Alligator mississippiensis: one gene and its partner. The protein of the gene in region 1 interacts with the protein of each later gene in a pairwise test. Links are inferred from orthologs where the notes say so. Each region holds a gene or a part of one and is shown on either strand. Other genes may lie near its edges.

Region 1 (3,747 bases):
GTCCATTCATCCTATTGGTTTCTGCTTCAATTTAAACTGAACACTAGTGCCCCAAGGGTATTAGTAAAGCCGCTAGCTTCTTAAATGCAGAAAAATTATGTGTTGCCTTCAATGGCCGGAGACACCTCACCATGTGCACCACCTCTATTCAACACCCTAGGTCTGCCCCAGCGTTGCCAGGTCTTCAATATGAAATTAGCTCAAAATTATCGTTTTTGCTGAAAAATTATTATACACAGAAAGATATGCAAATAAGTGTACAAATGAACATGTAAATAAGTCTTCTTCTTTACTTTATATTGCTCACTATAACTCCCCAGTCAGAGAGTGAGAAGTGGGTCATCAAAGTTGAGGCATTTATTTATTTCAAGACAAGCTGTCCTAAAAAAGTGCTGACCACAAGCCTGAAATATGGTTAAAACTCCCTGAGAGTGACTTGGGCTTTGCATATGCTGCATCAGTGAGCTACCTCAAAAATTATCAGACTTTTTGAACACTTTTACTATTATTGATTATACATGGCAGGAAGGTTGAAGTGATCCTACAAATACAATCGTACCGTACACCTAGCAACACTGCACCCCTCCCCGTTTCGCGCGTGCGCAGCTTCCACAGCTTCCCACAGGTCTGCAGGCTCCGCACAGTCCGCGCCTCGTCCCGTCCCGCCCCGCCCCTCTCCGCCCCCCAGCAGTGACTGCAACTCGAAGGGGGAGGATGATTCCAAGCCCCGCCCCCCGCGCGCCCAGCTACAGGAGAAGCCACGTGATGAGCGTAGCGGTAATGCCCCGCCCTCCTACGCCTTCCGCGAGCGGGCGGACGCGATGACATCAGCGGTTTCGGCATTCTGGCACGACGCCCCACCCCCCCACCTCCTCACCGCCCAGCCCTGCTGCGGGCGTGCGCGCGCGGTGACGTCAGGGCCCGGCGTTGTGACGCGTGGAGCGTAAACAAAGCGGTGCATGATGGGTAGAAGGGGAGGTGGGGGAATTGTTCCGCCCAGGAAGCAGCCTCCATTTTAGGGCCCCGGCGGCTCCCGCGACCTAGGCCTGGCTCCGAGGCCCCGAGCCCCGGCGGCGGGATGGCGGCGGACAGCCGGGAGGAGCAGGGTACAAGTGCGGCGGCGGGCCCGGGCAGGGGGGGTTGGGATGTGTCATTGGCGCCGCTTTTGTAAGTCCCTGGGGCGGCATCCGGCCTGGTGCGCAGTGCGGGGGTCTGTAGAGGAGGTCCCCACCACGGCACCAAACCGCGTTTCTCTCTTTTTTTTTTTTTAATTCCCCATCTCGGATGGCGGCAGCGGGCGATGAGGCCGCTGCTCTCACTTCCTGAGCGGGTCGGTGTGGGCCTCTCGTCCTCTGCACATACCTACTCTAAGAAACATTTGTAGAAGAAATCCGAAGTCTTAGTGACAGCTGTCAGATCAAGATTGGTAGGGCGAAAGAGAGCTCTTCAGTCTGGTGTGTTAAGTCATGGGGCGGATCATATCTATCTACTCCAAAAATAAATAAATAAATAAAGCAGTTGACTTCATTCAGTGGGCTAGAGGCGATATCTTGGACTGACTAGATGGTTGCAAAAAAAAATCCCAAAACTCTTTCTTTGCAAGCTTTTGGGGGCACATGCCCTTCCTCAGGCATAGGGGAATGCAAAGATTGCAAAATTTCTCCCAGGTAGAAATGAAAATTCATATTTCACAGGAGGGCAATGTAAGATCTCTTGCCTGGAAAAGTTCATTTTTCATTTTCTGCAAATTAGGCTCCAGTAAAAGTTGGAGCAGTGTATTTACCCCAAAGGTGTCTGTTGGCAAGCAGGGTGTTGAGTTATGCTTCTTTCTCGTTACAGTGTTTAATTGCAGTAGAATTTGTCATTAGCATTATTTTATACAGCTCCCAGGCTCTAAGGAAAGGTGTGGTTGGTATCATGCTTGGTCAGTAGTCCTGAGCTCTGGTATGTGTAGTTCAGGTCACCTGCAAAGGGTATCTTCAACATGACATAAAACCATTTTTTTAAGCTCCCTGTCTCTGATAACAGGACAGCCAGATAATAGGACTGTTATTGTCATTTCTTTAACCGATTGGTATGTTAGCAGTGTTTAATTTTGACAGCTATGCATACTCTTTAACCATGGGGTTTCTTACAAAGTGGAGAAGTTGGTAGTAAAACTAGTTTTAATTCTGAAATCCTTTATGAGGCTTTTGTTTTCAGGTCTTTCCCATAGGACTCACTGAACATACAAAAAGTGGGAAGGTATTTTAAAAGTGTAAGAGTAAGATGTGATTCAGTCTCAAGTTTAGTTATTAAAGTCTCTGCAACTGTCTAAGACTGGACAAACCTCTGAGCTCTTATAATTTCTTCCAGCTCTACTTGGAATCTGAGAGATGCTTATGTCTTGCACCAGAACATAGGGTGGGGGGTCATACATTTATTTGTGTTTTTGAGAAACACGTGATAAAAGTGGTTAGGGTATAAATAATTTTGTTGTTTAGTTGCATGTGTCATTAATAGAAGAACTATTTTGTTATAAAGCACAAGATGCAGGAAGGAAGGAATGGTTTGAAGAAAACTGAGATGATGTTGGAATGGATTTGCATTTGACTGTATGGACTACACTTTGAATTTACTTACAATACAGACTTTAGGTCTGTACATGTCAAACATGAGGTGCTGTTCATTCCGAATATGGTGAGAGGTTGCTTAGTATGGGTTTTTTCTCTGAAACTAGGGTTCTGGAAAATTCTCACTTTGTTCTGAAGTTGATGAGCTTTTATTTTTTTCTTTCTTCCCTTTATGTCTTGATCTTTCAAAATGCTGCTGAAACGGCTGCAGTGGGGTGACAGGGAGGGGGTTTACCCTAGTCGCTCTCCTTTTCAGCACCCGCTTTCTGCTACTATGTGACATGGCCCTGTCTGGTATGCAGAAAAGTCATGGGCTTGTGCCCACATAGGATGGGTTTCCACCCCTGTTGTGACAGGCCAACCCAGTATGCGGCAACTGATTTTTCCAGACACTTGGAAAAAATAAGCAGAGATGGAAGAATTCAGAACAAGTGCTCCAGGGGAGATGGGGGACAGAGCAGAGCACATAGGGCAGATTGGGCAATGCCCACTGGCCCTCAGATGAGTCCAAGGAGCCAGTGGATGCTGCCCAGTGATACTCTGCACACAGATGTGAGCAGACCAGGAACAGACCAGTTAGTTACTTTCAAGGGATATGAGCTTGAAAGACTGTAAACCCCCTCTTAGAAATGGAGGCCACTGAGAAAGTAACTAATTTCATGGGATAAACGAAATGCAAAATGGGGATGGGAGTGAGTGTCAGAGGTTCAGAACAAGTGCACTGTGGGGAAAGGACACCGAGCAGAGCACACCAGCCAATGTCCATTCACCCTGGGTTGAGTCCAGAGAGCTAATGGACACTGTCTAGTGAAACTGTCCAGGGATGTGAACAGACCAGAGACAGAAAAGCAGTTCTACAGTCCCTAAGAGTCTCTGTCTTGCCCCCCCCCCCCCCAAGCTTCCTTCCTGGCTAAGTAGATCACTAGGTTGGACAAGGCCATGAGAAGATTGCCCAGGAGGTCTCAGTATTTGGGCCCATGGACAGAGACAGAGTGTTTCTTTCAAGGGATCATGGACCATTGCCTGCCAAGGAGAACTATAAGCTTCACTTGCAAAGGGAGGCCACTGAGAAAGTAATGGCTAATTTCTTGGGACAAAGGAAAGACTAAACAGGGATGGGAGTGATGGTCAGAGG
Region 2 (3,747 bases), on another chromosome or scaffold:
CCCCTATTCCCAGACCACATATATAAACACCCTATATCCATCTCGCCCAGTCTCCCATGTCACACCGCTCATTTTGGACGTATGACCTTCATTCTCATCCCTATTTTGTGTTTTAGTTGTCCCCCAAAATCAACACAGCTTGTTCTGAACCTTTGACCTTCACTCCCATCCCTGTTTTGTCTTTTGGCTGTCCCATGCAATCAGTGATGTGCCCTTAGTGGCCCATTCCTTCTGTGGTTAAAGCCATGCTTGGTGGGCTCCGGCCACGTTCGGCAATGGCACCTCGAAACGGGGTCACACCGGACATTGGGACTGACCAGGATTTTTCCTCTCCCACTTGCAGCTTCGAGTAGGGAAGGTCTGGGGAGCTCTGGTGCCCTCATGCCTGTGCCCAGCAGCTACCAATGCCCCTTCCCTCCAAGCCCGTGTCTGGCCCCTTTTTCCCCAGGGAACCTCTACTTCTTGCACCAGTGCCAGTGCCTGGGGCAGCTCAGCTCATCCCCGTGCCTCCACAGACACGAACTCTTCGGCAGAAGGGCGTGGCGTGCACCAGAGAGCTGCGGCTGGCCTGGCCGCACTAGAGGCATCCTTTTTGCCCCTTGCTTCTGGCCCCAGCTCAGGTGCGACTGAGCCCCTCGCTGGGGAGCTCCCACGGCCTCAGCCACAGGCTCTCTGTGGCAGCGCTGCCAGGTCTTAAATATGAAAAGCTCAAAATTATTGTGTTTTCTGAAAAAATACCATACACTGAAAAAACATGCAAATAAATTTCTCCTTATTTGCTTTCTCTTGTTCACAGTGAGTGAGACCTGGGTTCAAGTTGAGGCGTTTATTTCGAGCCAGTTGGTGGGGAGGAAGGGCTGACAGCCGACCCCACAGGCGGTTAAGCCTCCCTGAGTGTCACTGCTTCGGTTTCCACCTGCGGCCTCTAAAAGGACGGTCCACATGGAACACCTTTACTGTCACTGATGCAGGCCCGGCAAGCAGCAACACCGCCGCTCCCGCCCCGCCCCCTTCCCCTTCCCCTCCCCCTCCCCCTCCCGGCGCGCGGGGGCGGGACCGAGGGCTCACAGGAAGGGGGTGGAGCTGAGGGGTGTCAGGTGACGACGCGCGCGCACGGCCTGCACGTCACTTCCGCTGCGGAGAGCGCTCGCGCCTGGGACGGTCGGGTCGGGTCGGGTCGGCGGCGCCGCGGTCGCCCGGAGCTCGCGCGGGGGGGAAACGATGAGCGACAGCGGGGAGCAGAACTACGGCGAGCGGGTAATACACGGAGCTGTGCGCGGGCGCCCGCCCGGGCGCGGGGCTGTGCTCCGCCGCGACCCGGCCCGGCCCGGCCCGGCCCGCTCGGGGGCCAGGAAAGCGAGGCGGAAGGCCACGGCCCGCCGCGCGCGGGGAGGCCTCGGTGGTCGCGGGCCCCGGGAGGCGCCCGCGGGGTTGGGTTTGGCGCGAGAAAATGGCCGCCGGGCCGGCCGGGGGGGGAGGGGCGGCACGGGCGCTCTAGCCGCCCCGCGCGCTCTGTGGTGAGTCCGCCCGGCGCCATCTTGGGCTGGGGACCCGGGCGCGCGGCGGAGGGACAAAATGGCCGAGGGCCGTGGGGGCGCGGCCCCGAGCGCCCCTCAGCGCTGCCGCCTCCGCCCCGCCTCTGCAGGGCGGCGGGTGCGGGGCCGCTGGGCGGTGCGGGCGGCCTGTGCAGCGACCCGGGGCGCCGGCCTCGTGTGCGGCGGGGCCCCTTTCCTGGTTCACCCCGCACTCCGCTTGGGGGCCGCAGACAGGCCGGGCCGAGGGAGGGGGGCGTTAGAAACCCCCTGGGGCAGCCCTGCGCGGGCCGAGATCCTGCCCCAACTCACGGGCAGAGGGGCTGAGCCGGTCACCCGTGACAGCGCGCCAGCCTCTTCTCCAGGGAGCCGCTTGGTTCAAATGGAAAAAGGATTGAAAGAGGCTTTTCACTTCCTCCCGTTGCTGGGATGTGTAGTCGGTAGGGTCCTAGGGAAGAGGCTGCAAGGGGCCTCCCAAGGTCACCTAGTCCAGCACCCTGCCCAGTGCAGCATCCTCCCTGACCAGAAACCAAGCGTCTTCATTCTAGGTGTCAGTCGGTAGAACAGTTTTTAAGCCTCTCATGGAGGTTTTGCATTGCTTTTCTTAGTGAGATTAGGCTAACTCCAGAAATCAGTCTGGGGTGTTAGCTGTTCATTGCATCCTGGCACTGCCCTTGCAATAGCAGGTGTAGCGTTTTCTAGCTTCAGCAGAGATTTGGCTGCATTGGGCAGCGCTGGGTTTTGAGGTAATCAGCAGTGATAACTAAAGGCTGTGCTCTTTGAATGAACTGGTGCCCTTGGAGGTAAAAGTGATAGCCATAATTAGATGATGTTTCATCTAGTAACATTTCAGACTTGTTTTATTTTTCAAGAGCATCCATATCCTATGCTCATCCTAAATAATCTACTAAGAAAAGAGTATATTTGAGGTGGGATTAAGTCCTGCTTACAGTGAACCATCCAAAAAATGGCGGTAGCTATACTTTGCTTTTGGCTACTGTGTAAGCACACGTTTAACCCTACTTGGGATGACCTGGCAGGGTATTCTAGGAAAGCTGTTTGCCAAAACACCGAAAACAAACGAACAAATGAAGCAGTAGAGGCAAGAGGACCTTACATTAGGGAATAGTAACAATTTCTAAAAATCAGGTTATGAATCTTTCTGGTTTTGGGGTTTTCCAGAAAGTCATATTGTAGGCAGTGTTTGGAACATGCTAGTATTACTCATGTGGCTCATTTGGACTCTTGGAAATTCATAAATATGCTTGGTATTAACAAGTGTCTTTAAAAATGGAGAGTGTAGATAACTAGTTACAAGAGATTTGCTATTGTTAAACTAGATTGCAGGTTGTGGCTTTCATGAGGTTAATTTGTCTACAGAATAACATACTGCTATGATTGCAGTTTCCTGTTGTTCTGCCTGTGGGGGGCCCCCCCCCCCCCCACTAATGCTAATTCATCATTGCTGAGTAAGGTTTGTTTGCATTCTCCAGGAGTGGTTAATTAACCAGGGTTTATTTGATGTATTTTTGACATGTTGCAGGGTTAGTGTCATTCTTCCTCAAGTTGGAAGTTGTGGTGTCCCTATTTCATAGATGGAGGGCTCAGTGAGTGAGATGTAATTGACTTCCATTGTCATTAGTCTTGCCACTGCTTGCCTTTCTCAGCATAATCAGGCCCTCGTGTGGCTTCATTGATTAGTTTTCCAAGATACAAGTGTGTGAATTTTGTTCCAAATACAGAAGTTTAAATAAGAGCAGCTTGCTTAGAAGGCACTGTGATAATGATTTAGATCATATGTTCATAGATTATATGGCTTCACCTAAACAATAATATTCAGACAGGAGAGGGTACTTTTGGAAAATGGATAGTTGCCATGCATTGATTTGGAATCAGTTGAGACTTGCAAATACTGACCCTGACTCTTGACCAGTATAGGTGGAGGGCACTTGTTGTTTTTGGATTTGGATTTGCTGGCCTTATCTCCAAGTAGAAAAAGATGCACATTTCCAGATCATCTTAGAATACCTTTTCCTAGTGCAGATGTCTGTTGAAGAATGAGGCTATTCTAGATGTTCCAAATGCCTCTGCCTTCTTTGAATTATTTAATGCTACTGGCAACTTGTCTGTAGTATGTTTTTTCAACTTGCATTGTTTAAAATATGGAACAAGTTAATCTTGCAGTTGTATCTAATGCATTATCACAAGAAGCCTC

Evidence for each region.
Region 2: the proteins of YTHDC1 (region 1) and TRA2B interact in binary tests that used the Homo sapiens proteins (3 or more experiments, as listed by UniProt). The link is inferred for Alligator mississippiensis from reciprocal best matches to the Homo sapiens genes YTHDC1 and TRA2B.

The regions. Positions count from the first base shown.
Region 1 is NC_081825.1:132,859,870-132,863,616, reverse strand, and holds the start of YTHDC1 (YTH domain-containing protein 1), read left to right. Parts: upstream 1-966; 5' UTR 967-1,078; coding exon 1,079-1,106; intron 1,107-3,747. UniProt on the Homo sapiens protein: Regulator of alternative splicing that specifically recognizes and binds N6-methyladenosine (m6A)-containing RNAs.
Region 2 is NC_081830.1:33,879,404-33,883,150, forward strand, and holds the start of TRA2B (transformer-2 protein homolog beta), read left to right. Parts: upstream 1-1,128; 5' UTR 1,129-1,221; coding exon 1,222-1,257; intron 1,258-3,747. UniProt on the Homo sapiens protein: Sequence-specific RNA-binding protein which participates in the control of pre-mRNA splicing. Can either activate or suppress exon inclusion. Acts additively with RBMX to promote exon 7 inclusion of the survival motor neuron SMN2.